Arabidopsis thaliana: one gene and its partners. The protein of the gene in region 1 interacts with the protein of each later gene in a pairwise test. Each region holds a gene or a part of one and is shown on either strand. Other genes may lie near its edges.

Evidence for each region. Proteins that work in one complex are often made in the same cells at the same time.
Region 2: the proteins of AGP27 (region 1) and TIP4;1 interact in a protein complementation assay, tested with the Arabidopsis thaliana proteins (one large-scale study listed by BioGRID).
Region 3: the proteins of AGP27 (region 1) and PIN5 interact in a protein complementation assay, tested with the Arabidopsis thaliana proteins (one large-scale study listed by BioGRID).

Annotation. Positions count from the first base shown.
Region 1 is NC_003074.8:1,926,946-1,932,285, reverse strand, and holds AGP27 (arabinogalactan protein 27), read right to left. Parts: upstream 3,419-5,340; 5' UTR 3,311-3,418; coding exon 2,933-3,310; 3' UTR 2,602-2,932; downstream 1-2,601. Other genes in the region: NHX4 (sodium hydrogen exchanger 4), read left to right, coding at 86-152, 232-332, 426-527, 602-803, 902-985, 1,086-1,448; MEE32 (dehydroquinate dehydratase, putative / shikimate dehydrogenase), read left to right, coding at 4,585-4,806, 5,063-5,304. UniProt on the Arabidopsis thaliana protein: Proteoglycan that seems to be implicated in diverse developmental roles such as differentiation, cell-cell recognition, embryogenesis and programmed cell death.
Region 2 is NC_003071.7:11,009,327-11,015,372, reverse strand, and holds TIP4;1 (tonoplast intrinsic protein 4;1), read right to left. Parts: upstream 2,875-6,046; 5' UTR 2,716-2,874; coding exon 2,589-2,715; intron 2,481-2,588; coding exon 2,242-2,480; intron 1,851-2,241; coding exon 1,467-1,850; 3' UTR 1,202-1,466; downstream 1-1,201. Other genes in the region: ESE2 (Integrase-type DNA-binding superfamily protein), read right to left, coding at 1-387; AT2G25800 (elongation factor Ts (DUF810)), read left to right, coding at 5,645-6,046. UniProt on the Arabidopsis thaliana protein: Aquaporins facilitate the transport of water and small neutral solutes across cell membranes. Transports urea in yeast cells in a pH-independent manner.
Region 3 is NC_003076.8:5,397,288-5,404,046, reverse strand, and holds PIN5 (Auxin efflux carrier family protein), read right to left. Parts: upstream 3,408-6,759; 5' UTR 3,313-3,407; coding exon 2,651-3,312; intron 2,143-2,650; coding exon 2,057-2,142; intron 1,964-2,056; coding exon 1,806-1,963; intron 1,652-1,805; coding exon 1,575-1,651; coding exon of another isoform or gene 1,571-1,574; exon of another isoform or gene 1,494-1,570; coding exon 1,421-1,493; 3' UTR 1,202-1,420; downstream 1-1,201. Other genes in the region: ZFN3 (zinc finger nuclease 3), read right to left, coding at 1-17, 107-169, 294-454, 553-610; AT5G16520 (uncharacterized protein), read left to right, coding at 6,676-6,759. UniProt on the Arabidopsis thaliana protein: Auxin transporter regulating intracellular auxin homeostasis and metabolism. Mediates the auxin transport from the cytosol into the lumen of the endoplasmic reticulum. May also act as an auxin efflux carrier when located to the cell membrane.

The sequences.
Region 1 (5,340 bases):
CGTATCTACTGATGGTTAAAAATGTGATTTTACCCTTTCTTTAATAATCCTTTTGCTTTGTTTTTGTTTTGTTTTGTAACATCAGGCACTCTACTGATCGTGAAGTTGCACTTATGATGCTATTGGCTTACTTATCATATATGTTGGCAGAGGTAATAAGAAAAATTTGAAACGTTTTGGTTACATTTTTTCCAACAGAAAATGAAAACATGATACATATATCCTTTGCAGCTATTCCACTTGAGCTCTATCTTGACTGTGTTCTTCTGCGGGATTGTTATGTCTCACTATACATGGCACAATGTTACAGATAAATCCAAGGTCACTACAAAGTAAGTTTCTTTTTCTTCTCCCAATAATTAGAAAATAACTCTACTAATTTGTTGTGCTTGATTGACTAAACTGTATACGTTTTCTTGGCGTAGACATACTTTTGCTGCAATGTCATTTCTAGCTGAGATTTTTATCTTCCTTTACGTTGGAATGGACGCTCTCGATATCGAGAAATGGGACGTTGTACGCAACAGGTGAGACTTAGAGTGTGATAATACATCAATATCTTTTGTTTCATTTTCATAATATTGTTTAACAATTTTGGCAGTCCTGGTCAGTCGATTGGAGTTAGTTCAATACTTCTTGGGCTTATTCTTCTGGGTCGCGCCGCGTTCGTGTTTCCACTTTCCTTCTTGTCCAATTTAACAAAGTCTTCACCGGATGAGAAAATAGACTTAAAGAAACAAGTAACCATTTGGTGGGCTGGTCTGATGCGTGGTGCAGTGTCAATGGCTCTTGCTTATAACCAGGTTTTGATCCGTGAACTACAAGAAACAAAGATAAAAAAGTGATCTTTGGGTTTTAATAAGTTCCCATGACTTAATCTCTTCTCTCTGTTACATCATAGTTCACAACTTCAGGACACACCAAGGTTCTTGGGAACGCTATCATGATCACCAGTACCATCACTGTTGTTCTTTTCAGTACTGTGGTACGTTTCAACACTTTGTTCAAACCGGTTTGCTTCCTACTGAAGTCAAATCGGGTTTAGCCTATCCAACACGTAACCTAATCTCTAACCTTTTTTGCAGGTGTTTGGATTGCTAACCAAACCGTTAGTCAAACATTTGCAGCCTTCATCAAAACAGTCCTCCACGACCGCGCTGCAGATCACACTAAGATCTTCTTTCCACGATCCGATCCTCCATGAGCCGTTGCTCAGTACCCAAGGCCAGTCAGAATACGACCCTGAACAACATGTTAGCTTCAGAATGTTCTGGAAATCTCCGTCCAGGGCCATTCATCATTACTGGAGGAAATTCGATAACGCAGTTATGCGTCGCATATTTGGTGGCCGAGGCGTTTCACCAGTAGTTCCAGGTTCACCCATTGAGAATAGTGTTCCGCAATGGAGTGAAGAAGTAGAAAACAAGGAACAAAACGGCGAACCTTGATGACCATAATGACATGAGTAAGATCTTTGACTTGTTGATCGCGTTTTTTGGCGTTGTTGGACGCAGACGCAACATGGGCCGGCTCTAATTTTTTGCCTCCAGTTTTGGTATAATGGTTTTGGATGTGAGTTCTTATTTGCCCGGTGTGATTTTTTGGTTTGTGGTGTGATTTTGTAAAGCCGGTCCGTTTTTCGTTGTTTGAGTTTGTGGTTTTGTTGAAAAATTGTAACTGTCCATGTAAATAGGGACTGATATAGGGGTGACTTGAGTACACCTAGCTCATATGCAGACGTTAGCGTCTGCGTTTGGAGATTCGAGTTTGCGTTGGTGGGACGTGAGCAGATTTTTTAATCTAAAGTTTGTGTACACTTTCTTGTACTTCTTATACAAAACAAAGGGACACGAATCTTTCTAATGTTCATAATTTATTACTGGGTTTTGCAAGAAACTTGTTGACAATATACAAATAAACTGATAACTTATATATAAATATAACTTTTGAGAAATCTAATCTTATTTTTATGCTTGCACGTATATAAGGACAAAGTGAGTGGGTATCAATCAACCTTATAGTAACATATACAATCTTTCACGCATAAAACCCTATAATGTGAAAACAAGAAACGTCCTTTACATATTTCTTCTCACCTAGATATTATTAATTTTAATATTGAGACTTTGAAACCCCAGAAATAAGATAAAGTGTGGGACAAGAAAAGAAGGCACCTTTTTTTGTTGTTGCTTTTAGCCGTGAGGCCAGCATATGCAGTAACTCACATGCATGCGCCTCTAACCTTGTGGCATTTTAGGAATTATGCAATAATGCACTATACTTAAATACGTTAATTCACAAAGTAATACATTCATTCAGTTCATAAACACGTCTCAAGATTAAGACAAAAATAATCATAAAAAACTGGTGTTTTACATAAACTTATGTCGAAATTAATTAGTAGTCTACATATAATTACTCAAGTGTTATTTGCATGTAAACAGTACAAATTTTTGGAACGTTTGATTTTGATACTACTATAAACTGCAGTATACTGTAAAGCATGCATATGACGTCACTTTAATTTGAAACGTAATTTCAACTTTTTCAAAAGGTTCTTTAGCTTAGCGATAAAAAAAAAAAAAAAAGTTAGTGTATAGTAAACGAACAAATGAAATGAAAAGAAGAGAAAAGTATAAGTCCTCAAAGTGTATTGAATCACTTAACGGTAAATTAGTTTTTATTTTTATTTTTATCCAGAGTTCTTAAGTTAATTATGCATCAATTATGTGGTTCTGACGTAATATATTACTTGCGTTTTTCATCTAAACCAATCTAAAACTGTAACAAAATGTTAAGTGGAGAACAATAAAAAATACAAATAGTAAAAAAAAATTGAAAATCAAACTAAATCTAATTTTATTCGTTATTTTTAGGGGACAAATAAACTCATGAAAATAATGACGTACGTGGTCTAAAATATATGAATGACCTATATAGCTGAAACGGCAAGAAGCCGGAGCGAGAAACAATAGACGGCGGCGAAGACAAAGTAGATGAAAACTCCGGGAGCTTGAGAAGACAGAGAAGCAAGAGATGAAGCCGGAGGAGAAGCCGATGGAGCGAAGGCGGGATCAGGATCTGCGGAAACGTCGTCGTTTTCTGGTTCAGGAAGTGTTGAAGAAGAAGGGATGGTTTGAGTGGAGGAGACGGCGGGTGAAGGGAGGAGAGGAGCGATCTCCGGTGAGATCTTTTCTTCAGAGGGAGAGATTGTTTGCGAAGATGGGATTGTATTTGTCGTCGGCGAAGAGAGAGAAAGTGAGGAGAGAAAGATGAAGGTGATGAGTGTTAGCAATATAGATGAAGCCATCTTTTTTGGTTACTGTAATGATGAACAAATCAAAGCTGAGTTGTTTTTTTCCTTAACTGATGAGAGCGCATTTTGTGTTGTAATAATGATACTGTCTCTATAAAAGAAAACTTTTAGCTCTAATAGTAAAATATTATAAATTGATTTTAAATGGAATTTGTCTCACCTTTTTCCAAAAAGATTATTATTTATCAATTTAAAGGATGTGTTCGGTGGAAAAGAAAATATATTTGCTGAATTCTTGAAGATGGGCGTAGATCGAGTTTTCACTTTTTAGTAGAAGCTCTTATATATTGCACATATTTTCGAATAAACATGTGCTTTACTTTTTGCTGAAAAATATTATGTTAATGCAAATTATACATATTGCTAAGTACGAGTAAAGGCATCTCCATCCATGAGAAACCTACAAAGTTTCTAAAACAAAAAAAATATTAATATTATATTATAATTTAATTATTTGATTAAAAAAGTAATTTTGTTAAAAAATTGAATCAATAGTGAGATGAGAATTGTCATGATGGGTTGTAGAGAATATCTCAAAATTTTTCAAGTGAGAAACTTTCTACATTTTCTCTCCTTCATTTTCATTATTTTTATTTTTTTAATTGTGAAAAACTCTTATGAAATACCTTCAATGGAGATGGTCTAATTACGTTTGTTGTTGCCTCGTTGGATGTTCAAATAAAAAGCACATTTTATATTGGGTTGTTCCTAAACAAATATTTTGTTGTCTTTTGTACTAAAGTTTATTGGCGAGTTAAGAAAAGCTTTGTGGTGTGTGGGAATTATTATTATTATTTATTATTTATTGTTCTTTAGTTTGCTATGCAATTCGAGCCCACTAAAGAGGCTTCCTATGGGCCCAAAAAACGCAGCCCACTATTGTAGTGCAAAACGTGCTGAGTTTTCTACATTGCATGCCCAACAATGGCCACCAGTGTAGTTAAAGACTCAAGAACTTGCTGACCTCTATTTGTTTGACTTTCTTTTTTGTGTGAACAAAATCACATATTGTTGATGTCATTTGTTCTGCTATAATTCTTAACTTCAGATTACAGATAACGAATTTTCTCTTGATGATTTAAACAAACATATATAATTGTCAATATCAGAAAATGAAAAGGAGATATAAATAATTTTTTTTTGCGCCTAATCGAAACTTCACCTACCATTTTTTAGCGTATAAAAACGTTAAAAATACCAAAATTTAGAAATCCAATAAAAGTTGTGAAAAAAAGCCGCAAAGGGTCGTTGTTGTTTGTCGCCTCTCAATGGCAGCTTCTTCAACTAATGCTCGTCTCACCAACCCTCCTCGTCTACTCTCCAAACCCCGACTTTCACCTACCTCCGTCGCCAATCTCCGTTTTCCAGCCGCCGATTTCTCCACTCGCTTCTTTGCCGATTCTTCGTCCCCGCGGCTAAGGAGTGTACCGTTTCCGGTGGTATTTTCCGATCAAAGGCGCCGGCGAAGCATGGAACCTAGCAATGTCTATGTTAGTGATTCTTCCTTTAGTTCAGTTTTCTTTTGTTGTTTTCTGTTCCGTTTTTATTGGAGAAGGATAGGTAATGATGAATTTGCAGATTTATCGCTTCAAATAAATTTGGTATTAGTTTTGGATGAAGACTTTGATGTTTCGTGTACAACATTGGTTTAGCTATTTAGAATCGATCTTCAGAATTTTTGTTTAGTTCTGAGAAGTAGTTGGATTTTTAATTGATTGTGGAATTTATCCTGTTTTGTGATCTCAGGTGGCTTCAAATTCCACGGAAATGGAGATCGGAAGTCATGATATCGTGAAGAATCCGAGCTTGATCTGTGCTCCAGTGATGGCGGATTCAATAGACAAGATGGTGATTGAAACGAGTAAAGCCCATGAATTGGGTGCAGACTTGGTTGAAATTCGATTAGATTGGCTAAAGGACTTCAATCCTCTTGAGGATCTAAAAACCATTATTAAGAAATCTCCTCTACCCACTTTATTCACCTACAGGTTTGTGTGTTCAAGCTTGAGACTTTTTAAATGTTT
Region 2 (6,046 bases), on another chromosome or scaffold:
ACACCTAGTTTGCAACGGCGTTGAGTCATCCTGAAGATGGAATGGTACAGTTTTGAAATCCATAAGAGCGGCTTCGGCGGCTGCGGCCTGGATATCCTGTTGGCTGAGCGAGACTGGTCTTGGCAGAAAATCCGCGAGCTCAGGGAAGTTAAGGATTGCGGAACTTCCTTTGATACTCAATGCCGCAACATCATGGGCACGCGCTGCCATCTCCGCCGTGGGGAAAGTCCCGAGCCAGATTCTTGATTTCTTACGGGGCTCCCGAATCTCCGAGACCCATTTCCCCCAGCTCCTCATGCGAGCCCCACGATATACCCCCTTTTCTTTCGTTTTCTCCTTTTTCTTCTTGGAGGAACATTCCGTGTCGGAGCCATGAGAATCCACCATTCTTTTCTCTCTCGTTTTGATGTCGAAGTGCTCAAAAAATTGTGTACCGAAGTGTGCAACAATTAGTTCCTAGGCAAGAAGGAATGAGACATTTTTTTAGTGTCGGTGTAATATAAGAAAGTTTTTGTTTTATGAACTAGTCATTTTATGTTTCTTCTTTCCGATGACATTATATATACTATAGTACTGTCTGTGTGGGCTCGCATACGAGAAGTAGTGTGGGGGTATTGCTTACGAATTAATTATATAAAGGGTGTCAAATTCCAATGACTGTGATTTAATATTTGACAATAGAATTTAATCTGGTGTGAATCCCGTCTTTATAGATGTAGAACCTTCAAATTTGAATTTCTAGATATTAAAAAAAAGAAGAAAATTTAACGATAAAAAACCTTAATTTTTTGTTTAATCCATTTTAAAACACTCGACTAAATTTACATATAGAAGATAACTCAAATAATATAGGTTAAAAAATTAAACGTAACATTAAACGGTTAAAGCCATAAACGATTTCTGTATACAATAATGCAACATTGTTTGTGTGATAGAAAAATGTGGTTTCAGTCGAAAATAAAAAACAAGACGTTATTAGTAAACCATCAAGAAGTGTGATTTCCTGTAAACATTCGAAACTTCGAACGTAGAAAAATTCTCAAAGTACAGAAATGAAACAAGTTTGGCTGATCAGACATCAACGAAGGAAACATGTATGTTTCAGACTGCACGCGCCAAATTACATAAGTTCGTCGGCCACCTACACACCACCAAAACCGGCCCTAAATTTTAGACGAATAGAAGCGAGAGAAGAAAATTTCCCGTTTAAAACATTCTCATAATATGTATATTTTTTTAACTTCACAAATTCTCAAAAATGAAAAAGTGGTAAACAGAAAGTTTTATTCTCAATAATTGGAATTAATAGATTAAGGTTCCAACTTAAAAGAGATACATCTTAGAGGACAGAAAGAAACAATTTTTGGGATCAATAATACATTATTGAAACGATTTTTGGGGATCAATAATACATTAATGATTAGCTAATAGGGTATGTGACGTGCATAGCACAGTTTCAAACACATTTAATTCAACAATGGTTGCTCGTCGTCAGCGACTGGGACATGTGGACGGTCAATGAGGACATTCTCGTAGATGAAACCGGCGAGTCCACCACCGATCAACGGTCCAACCCAATATACCCAATGGTCAGTCCAGTTTCCAGAGACCAAAGCGGGACCAAAAGACCGGGCGGGGTTCATGGAGGCGCCAGAAAAGGCACCTCCTGCAAGGATGTTGGCTCCAACGACAAATCCTGTGAGAAGTGGGCCGAACCCATCAAGGGATCCTTTCTTCGGATCCACAATAGTGGCGTAGACAGTGAAGAGAAGTGAAAATGTTAAGATGATCTCCCATATGATCCCTTGCGTGTAACTCACTCCACTTGCCAATGTGTGAACCGGAGTTCCCTAATCACAAAACATAATTGTAAAATGTCAAACTACGTGTTATATCGAACAGGCAGGAATCAAATCATTGTTTGAAGTGTATGTAATTAAAAGTTTTACCAATTCGATTAGAAAAAAAATTATTGTAGATTAATCAATAAATAAAAAAATCTGTACTAGTACATAATAGAACTTGTGTATTATTGAATCAGAAAAAATTATATACGAAACAAAAAAAATGTAGGTAAGCAATTGATAGTTGACTTAATTATTGAACCAATAGAATCATGTGAAAATGTGTGTCATTGGATCATAATTTATAATTCCGTCCTTGGCATTACTTTTAGTAGCGTTATAAGTTGTTGATTAGCAATAATATGTTTTTTTGTAATATTAAATTAGATTTTTGTACCATTCCTCCGGTGAGGTAACTGAGGAGGAAGCATGCTGCGGAGGAGGCCAACAATTGATCAATCCAATAAAGGAATGCACGGAATACGCTGATGTGGCCACCCAAGAGTAGACCGAGGGTGACGGCGGGGTTGAGGTGGCCACCGGAGATATGGCCCGCAGATATCATTACCGCCACAACGAATGCATGAGCCACCGCGACCGCGAAAAGTCCCACCAATGTGTTTCCGACTAAACTGTCTAAGAAAATGAATAAAATAAAATTAAGTTGTAAATTGAAGTGCATCGTAGTGTCAAGAACCAAGTTAAGCTACTTGGTTTGCTAGAAATAGAAGCCTGAGAAATTACCAGTGGCCATGGCAGATCCAACACCAGCGAAGACAAAGAGAAAGGTAGTGATGAATTCGACAATGAGGGCTTTAATGCAGTCCGGTTTAGCCGCTTCGCTATGGTGCCCTAACTCGATCTTCTTCATGGCTTTTGAATGAATTTAAAAGTTCTAATCTAACGAAATTTTGATATATGGTTTAGTTGATGTTGTGATTTGTGCGTAATACAACGAAGCTACTTATAATGAGTTTTTTTTTTTAATTGTAAGGAAAAGAAAGTGAAAAGAAAATGGTAAGGACTAAGGAGCACATGGAATGAAATTAATGTATGATGATGAGTGATTGATTTGAGTTTCGAAAGTTGACTTGTATTATGTTCTTTAGTGAGTTCTGAGATGTATTACTTTATTTGACATATTGTTTTTGGAGATTGGGTAACAAATTTGAAATATGCTTACACAGTACAGTACTCTGATTTGTGTCCTTCAATATCAAAGAGGTGTTACTGGTTGGATACGTTTAAATTGTTTCCATTGGATATAAAGTAGTTCAGATTGTTAAAAACTAATTTATTTGTAATGATTTGTTATTCATTTTCATTTTATAATCCACTGCATAAGAATGATCATAGTCTCTTACAATCCAATCCAATGTAACAACGATCAAGAAAAATCATTAATCAATAGAGGATGATGAATTAACAAACGTAAATAGAAGAAAATCAAGTAGTTGCATAAGAGAAAATTTAATAGGAATTTTTGGACTGCAAAGAAGGAAAACAGATCAAGGTATATGTATGTGATCTTTATCAAAGAACTTGTGTTATGGGATATATGGTGAGGCGATGAAAGCTTTAACAATGTGGAGCCATGTTCGACTCCAAAGGACAATCAAAGCACATATAAGTGCAAAATTGCTTATAAATGCAATCACGTAAGTTGACACGATACTAATATAAAAATTAGAACATCAACATGTCATAAGCAAATTGTCCATTTTCGACCATGGATTATGTGATAAATTGGTCAAATAATGGGTTAGTAAAAAATTTAACACTTTACGTAAGAAAAGTTTTACTAATTATCGAAAACATCTTGACGACTTTATGACCATTCTAAAATAACTACAAACACTTATAATGTCAGATATCTATATATATATATATATATATATTTTACTAACCATTTTTTGATTAAAACTTGAATTCGTCGTCAATTTGTTTTGACCATTTATCTACTCATTATATGAGTCCAAAAAATTTCACCAATTACTGATCATTTCATATATTCGTCTTAGTTTGTTCGAAAGTTTTTCAATAAAAAGTTTGACCATTTTGTTGGTAAGAAAATTGGTCAAAATTTGACATTGTATATAGCAGCTCCATCGGCTTCTTCTCCTTCTCCATTACCTGATTCCTCTGAGTTCTTCCTACCCTCACAACTTTTGTTGGTTAACTACAAGAAAACGTAGATAGACATTTTTTGGTCCATTTGCAAAGTCTCGATATATGGAAGAAAAATACTTCCATGCTGTACCCAAAGTATGTGAAATCTCTCATGTGAATGCATGTTCTGCATGCCGTCGTCTCATACCGCCGTTGTCCTCTCAGACTAATACTATTGCTTCAATCTATCAAATAAAGGCAAATACCATATATGCTTATATGTTATCTTACATAGCCACAATCTCCACAATCTTAGTATTCACTAGTTACTATAAAATCTTGATGCTGAAAAATTCGTACATTACCTTCATGAATATGTGTAAAATGGCCTCTTTTTTTGTCGTTTGTAGCCTTGTAAAACATAGGAACGGCTCTGCATTTAGACATGCAGAATGGACGAGTTATTAAAAATCAACGAAACTAAACAAAAAAAACAATGTCAATTTTTGTTTAACCTAAACTAAACCGAATCTAATTTTAACCGATAATACCTCTTGATAGACTTTTACTAATCAATTAACCTTCCTTGTCTTCTACCTTGATTTGGGGAAAGTGTTGTCCTAGATTCATGTAGATCATCAGTACATAGAAGAAAGTTACTTGTAACATAATCTGACCAAACAAAACTAACCACTTAAATATCCTAAATCTCTCTTTCTAAGCCTATCTAAATACTTTGAATTTGTATCATCGTTTGAAACAATTTAATATAGAAAAGAAAAAGTAAACAAATACTAGTATGTATTTATTTATATGTGGTCCAATTTGCCCACAGAAAAAGGATCATGAGACATAAGCGTGAGACCGTCTCCAAGCTGTTCGTCTCTGATGCTCCAGCTCCCTTTCCCACTTTATTTTTATGTTATTTTAAGTTTGAACTACAATCAACTTACATATATACCCAAAAAATATTAATTACTGTATACCTATTTTCGGATATTTCATCTATTATTGCATATATTTTGTCACAAATTTTGTTTTGGCTATTTTGTGTAGATTTGAGTATATATAGTTATACAATTATAATTTTCTAATATTTTGGTTTTTTTTTTTTTGTTACATGAAGATACATTTGGATTAAAAAAAGTAAGGAATATGAACCACATCTAAATTTTGTTTGTCCATGAGACCATCCTCAACGTAAACACTAGAATTGTCCCAAACCCAAAAAATTGAACCAACCAAATAAAAGAAAATTATAATAGCCGAATGAGACCTAAATCTCTAAAACCAAAAACCTCGTAATTGGAATAGAACCGATCTAAACTTAAACGAATATCCAATACGAAATAAAAAGCCACTATTTAATAGCAATAAATCATAAATTCTTTTCTTTTTTTGTAAATCATAAATTCTTACGTCTATTTTTTTACTTATTAGTTACCTAATTCACTCATTAGCTTGACTTAATCGATAATTATATTTATAGATACAGTATATGGTAAACATCAAATAACTAACGCTTATTGAAAATTTCCTTTAAAATGACTAATGAGACGAAAAAATCAAATAATTAAACAAAATTACAAAACTGCCATTTCTTCTTAAATTATTTCAAGTAATAACTGTACTAAAAGCTGTTTTTGTTCTTTCTCTCTCTCTCTCTCTTTCGCTGCTCTCACACGCAAATAATGGCTCATCTCTTCAGGGAGCTGTCTCTGGGCCACTCCAAGAGAGAGTCTACGCCGCCGCCGCCGTCACATTCGGCGACTTCACGTTCTTCTTCAATGTCTTCCGATCTACCTCCATCACCACTCGGACAACTCGCTGTCCAACTTTCCGATTCCGATCTCCGTCTCACTGCTTACGAGATCTTCGTCGCCGCATGTCGTAGCGCCACCGGTAAACCTCTCTCATCGGCTGTTTCAGTCGCTGTTTTGAATCAGGATTCTCCCAATGGCTCTCCTGCTTCGCCGGCGATTCAGCGTTCTCTGACCTCAACCGCCGCTAGTAAAATGAAGAAAGCTTTGGGGTTAAGGTCGTCTTCTTCGCTTTCACCTGGATCTAATAAGAGTTCTGGTTCTGCTTCGGGT
Region 3 (6,759 bases), on another chromosome or scaffold:
CCTGTCTTCAGATAAAACTGCACAGACACAACAACAAAAATAGAAGCTTTGAGACAATGTGATAACTAGAAGACATTACTATGATAGTAATTCGAAACAGAGCTACCTCACATTCAGGCTGACCAATTCTTTCAGGGTATTCTCCTTTAATCCTTGCAGTTGCTATAACCTAGAAATTGGATACGAGACTATTCATCAGCTTGTAATCACACACACACACAGACCCTCAAAGCTACAAACTTTGAGTCAACAAGATACAGAGGAAAGAACAAACACAGAAACAGAGTCAGTACCAGTTTCCGGTCGTGAGGATGATTGAATCGGCAAGTTGAACCAAACCTACAAAGTCCAGTCCTTATATAATAAGCACAATCTGGCTCTCCGTGACGTTCCGGATAAGACCCATCAACACCCATTGTATCATCTGATCCCAAGTTCATTTGCCACATTGCATCTAAAATTCACAAACCCAACCAAAACCCCACAACAAAAATTCAAGCTGAGGTTTTTAAGATTGAATCAGAACATCAGAGAGGGAATAAAGGATGGTACTTTGGTTAAGCAATGGGGAAAGAAAAGTGCTTTCCCGAGAAATGGAATCAAAATCCATGGAGATGATGAAGAACAATGGCTGTGTCGGTGATTATTAAGCATTAAGAACACACCATAATTCTCTCACTCTAAGAGATTTTCCGATGGGAAGTCCCATCGTTTCTCTTGCTCCCAGGAATCGTCTTCCTCCGATTGTGGAGGGGTTAGAGGAAATGGCAATGCAGGAAGACATTAGAGAATTAGAGATCACGTCTAGAGAGAGAAAGCAGAGAGAGATTGGGAAGAAAGTGTTGCGTTCTCTTCTCTCCTCCACACAAAAGAAAGAAAAAAAACTAAAGAGATTCGGTAAGAAAAACGAATTCGAAAAGACTAAATTACCCCTTTTATCTTCATATTGATTCGGTTGAGGAGAAAGAATAATTTATTTCATAAATCCTGATTTGGTTAGTATGTATGATCATGAATCAAATAATAACAAGATTTTATTTGATCTCTAACCTGAATTTCGTTTCATTTATTCTTTTTTTTTTTTTGTTAACAAAAAAAGGGCTTATAATATTTAGTGTACGTATTAAAACAATTTTAGATCCGAACATGATGTATTTTCATTTATAGAGTTTTTATCTTTTCTTGATACGTATATGTGAACAAAATACTAAATTATGCATACTACGAAAATAAAGAGAGCTTAAGAAAGTATAAAATTAAGCATAAACTAGGTTAATTCATTCAGTTAATGGTTTTCATATCTCGAATATACTTCAAAATCTCCTTTAGGAGGAAAGTGTAAAAGAGATAACAAAAAAAAAAACTTGTGAAAGATGAACAAAGGGTAATATTGATGATATAATCGAATTTATTAGTTTAATCAATGAATAAACTCCAGAGCTGCGTAGTAGGCGACGAGCACAGGTAGAGAGACCAACATCCCAAATATCACCCTACATTTATCAAAATTTTAATTTAATTTCATATTACCATTTTCTTCTTAAATAGACTGAATTTTTAAAATTTGGACTTACGCTGTGCTTAGAACATCTGCATGTAATCCATATTCCTTAGCAAAAATGAACGAAGTAATCGATTGTGGCAAAGCAGCCTGTAAATTTCATATAAATATTAATGATATATTAAACTGAAAAATATAAAGTTAGTATCTTAGTGGATGAATGAATGGAAAATGATCTACTTTTTTTTTTATATACAAACTTCAGTAGAATTAGGGTACAAAAGGATAAAGTAGAATTTATGACCTGAATGATGGCTACGCGGAGGACATCACCGTGGAGGCCAAGGACAATAGAGCCGATGGCCATGGCCGCCGGTCCGGCAATAAACTTCAATACCATTCCCATCACAGTCAAGCTTGTTCCACATACTATCAACTTTTCTTGAAGTGCCATGAATATTCCTGCGTATATATGCATGTATTCACTGTTATCTCAATACTGATACGTAATCTTTACGTATAGAAAGATACTTGCATGGACATAAATAAACGTACCCATATTGAACATGGCCGTTCCTGTTCCTGCTTTTGACATTATAAGAATCGAACCCTCTAATATGCCCGGCAGCTCCAGATGCCATCTATATTTCCAATTAATTTCCATCAATTATTAGACTTAAGTCTTTATTTGTTAGCCAAGAGTATACAAAACACTAATCAAAACCCTAAACCCAAAATTCACACTAAAACAAATAAAATAGAAATTTGGTCAAAGACTCTAATATTCAGATTAAAATCATGATTAGTTTATTTGCATGTACATGTCACGTTTGCAAATTATGTTACCATGTTAAAAATGTCCTAGTCATTTGTCACATGGAAATATAAACGCAAATGCAAAGAAACAATCGTGACCTATATTTCTGTCAAAATTTTAACTATAGATCATCAGGCGCTACACAGAAAAGTAATAATTTAGATGGTTTAAACGTCAAACTATAGATATTTTTAGGCAATTTTAACGGTTGCCTCGGAGTAAGGGGTGGAATTAATGTAGTCTCCTGAGTCCCTGATCACACATACTAATTAACACTTTGTTAAACATCTTATAGGTACCAATATAAAGTTTAATTAAAGATTCATTTTTACCTGTTAGAAATAAAAGCCCATGCGATCCCAAGGATGCAAGAATAGCAATTTGGATTCGTTGCAAGCTTCAACCAAACGAGGGACATGACCTCAAGGAACGACTTCTCTCCCACAACCACAGTTTCTCTTTTTCCACTTTCGATATTGATGTTGTCTACTTGTACGTCGCTGATATTATTACTACTAAATCCGGCTTTTCTAAACTCTAAGACAAACAACAAGAGTGTGAGCCACACGATGGCTTGAAATACCGAGGATTGAACCACCAGATCAACAGCCTGTTGTCCGTACATTGCCTTAGCCAATGGCACACCAACGACAAGAGAGTTAGTAAGAGTGCATAGAGAGAAACTAGTAATGGACCAACAATAGCTTCCTTTGTTGCTATATTTGGCCCACAACGCTAAGACCGTGACTATGATGACCTTAGAGAGGACATCGGCCGCGATGAACCGGTAATTCATGTTGAACGGGTCGACATGGGCCGTGAACTCAATGGTGAAGAGCGGCAGGGTGAAATAGCAAACGAGACGGTTTATAGCATCACATTGATCACGCGTGAAGATGTGCCACCATTTCACAGAGCCATAGCCTAAGATTAAGGCTACATAGAGTGGAACCATTGCTTCGATTACCTTGTAAACATCTCCACAATTTATCATGGTTTTATCAGAAAAATAGAAATGTTGCAGTAGTAGCAAACGAAAGGAAAGAAAACAAAGCTTCTAAATTCGTTCGTAGATAGTAAATGTGTTACGATAGAGAAACCAACATGTTCATATTTATAGATAAATTTTTAATTGTTTTATTTGTTGTAGAAAAAAGATAGGTAATGAGATATCCATGAGTAATATTCAAACAAAAGTAAAGTTTAGATATAAATTAAACAATAATATTTTTTTCTTCGGAATATGATTACGAATATTTATAAATAATTTGGCTAAATTCCTATAGAATAGATACAATTGAAATTTGAGTCTAAATATTTAGATAAAAAAATTAAAATCAACCTCATATTTTTAGCCATTAGTTTAATTGAGAAACAAGAGAGTTATCGTTATCAATATAATTGACCAGACCGTGCCGTGGCATATGATTCTATTCCAATTGTTTCCTGTAAATAGTGAGTGTAGTGTTTGTGTATGACGTAAACATTTCTTTCAATATTTGACTATATTAATTAATGGTAATGTCGCAGAATAAAGAATGAGGTTGCAGCTTTAGCACCATAACTAGAAGATCGTCTCGACCAATATATGTTTTTGGCTGTCGTAACTCGTCGCCACAACACATGAGACTAACCAAATAATATATTTTCAATAATTTATTCGAAATATTTGCTTAATCGTTTTTTTCTTAATCTTAATATTTATATTTATTAACCACTTTCATAAAATGGGAGCAGAACTATGCTAGTGCATGTAATATAAGTAAAGTGCATGGAATAGTTTGTATATATGCCGAAATGGGTATTTGTGCCCTACGACCTGGCGATAGCAACCAATTTCATAACCGACAAAGAGAGATTTCTTATAAGAAAATGAATTTCACTTACTTATACCTAGTGATGATTTGAATGTTTCAATATATTCATGGTTTAAGAAATAACATGTCATGGGTTTTAGAATATGTTAATATATAGATAGATAGAGAAGTCTACAAATAACTTACTTACTTTTATCTTAAACCATGTTTTACGTTGTTTTTTATGTTTCGTTCGATAAAAAATCATATGGCCATGTCTTTCTTCTTTGTTAAAATATCAAAGAACCATATTATACTACGAGCTAGCGAAAAATCTATCATCGTGAGGATTGAGGAAGCCATTCAAGAACTACAAAAGTTTACAGAAAAATTTGTACCTCGTGCTCTTGTCCTTTCTTGCTAGACAACAAATTTATTATTTGCCTTCTGGACTCTAATATAATCACAACAACACATATTGCTAGGTGCAATATCATCATATTAGCACTTTTTAATTCTATGGTATATTTTTGTTTTGTAACCATATATATTGTCCATTCACAAAGTCTTTTCTATTACACATATTCATGATGAGAAAATTGATTTGATCTAATTACTAGAGAATCATGCAGAGGCATAAAATGATCTGGAAAGCATTTATTTATCATTTGATTTGATAATAACATTTTATGGAAACACCTATCTTTACCAAAGATTTGGAACAAATAGAAAAACATAAGCAAACAAATATATATAGTCGGACTAAAACAAAAACAAAAAGGGGGATTTGACTGATGGAACAAAAGTTAAAATCGGTGGATTAGAAATCTGTGAAAACGTGGAGGATGCTTATTCACTGGTGAAATTGAGGGATCATATATAAATATGAATAATAATGCTAGTAGAATAAGTTCTATTTATCACTTGATGATTACAAATCTATAATATGCTTTCAAATTTCTCTCCTGATGTGTTGATATATATTACAGTCTTTTTAATATCAAAAAGGTTTTTGTCTTCTCTCATTCATTCATTCATCGTTAATACTTTTGTTTTTGTGTGACATATTTTCATTATTCTTCTTGAATTATGTCAGAAATAGCTAGCTAGCACGATTGGAAAGTTTATTCAAAATCCATCTTATTTGTTTTGTACTTTTGACGTCATGAATATTATGTTGATGTTTTTTCCCAAACCACAAAAACAAAACAATCAAAGTTTTTCAGACCAGAAAACACTATATGTTGGGGTTTATACTGTTCTTCCTAAATTAGAGTTCGAATTCAAGAGTAGTGATCATATAACTTTCGTTTTCCTTTCAATCTTTCATAAACGAATCCAAGTACCAAGTTAAATGCATGGTTACGTATTATATACTATATATAAATGTAATCATGTTAATGTTACAAATCAAATCAGAAGAAACAAAGTTATACATAAAGGAGAGGATGTTTTGATTTTGGTCGAAAAGAAGTTCAACGTCAATCATTGAAAGAATGAAGTAAATAGCAGCCAATAGAAAGGGAAACCAAACTACAAACATATCAATATTACATAATTTTTTAAATATAATTAATTATCCATATCCACACACTAATCTTTCATTCAAATTCCATATTAAAAAAAAACACAGAAGAATTATTCTTAAAGGCAAATTTGTTCTTTAGACTTATGAAAAGAGGAAACTCCTCCAAGTGCAGGTGGAATAAATCCTCTGTTTGAAACGACTTCACTACTGTATTATTTCTTAATTTATTTTGTGGCTCACAATAATCTGTTCCTTCATTGCTTCGTCACTCAATATATGCTACAGCACCTACTTGTTGTACTCTTCTGCTTCACATCTCGTGTTTTTATTCTGGAAACATTCGTTTTTCCAGAGAAGAGAAGACGCAAGAACAAGTTTTCAACCATGGAGAATGGAGAATGATTTACTTTTAGCATAAAGTCCTCAAACGTATTAGCCGCATCAACAACACTCTTTGATGTGAACACAAGTCTTAAGTTACATGCAAAGTGTTACTTATTCATTAATTCTAGTATAGTTCTTATACTTTAGAACTTGAAGGGTACACCATAATAATAGCTAAAGAGATCAAGATCGGTGATTATAGTTATCAAATTTCCAAGAATATGTGAACACTTCATAGATTATGTAATGAACTAATGATTACAAAAAAAAAAAAAGTACAAAGGCAAAGCTAGAAACGACTTTTGAATCAGGAAAATCTCTCTGCAGGTTTGTTTGGTCCGGCGGGAAAATTTGATATATAAACCGAACCGGATAACATGAACCACCCGGTTTTTAAATTTTGCTGGTTCTTGACCACGACGAAGTCACTTGCTTAACAGGCTGGTTCTGCTTCGTGGTCTGGTTCTTTAAAGCTGGTCCAAATAATAATAAAATAATTAAAAGATGAAATTCCTTTCTTGCCCCTTTTGTTCTTCTCCTTTCTCCGTCTCTCTCTCTCTCTCTCTCTCTCTCTCTCTCTCTCTCTCTCTCTCTCTCTCTTCGACTTCTTCGTCTTCGTTTCTTCATTTCGAAGCTCTCTCTGTGTGTGATGGCGTGCCCTAGAAACTCCATAACATACAACGCCACGCGCTGCGCGTGCGGTATCGGTCAGCTACTAAACCGGAGCTCCGGG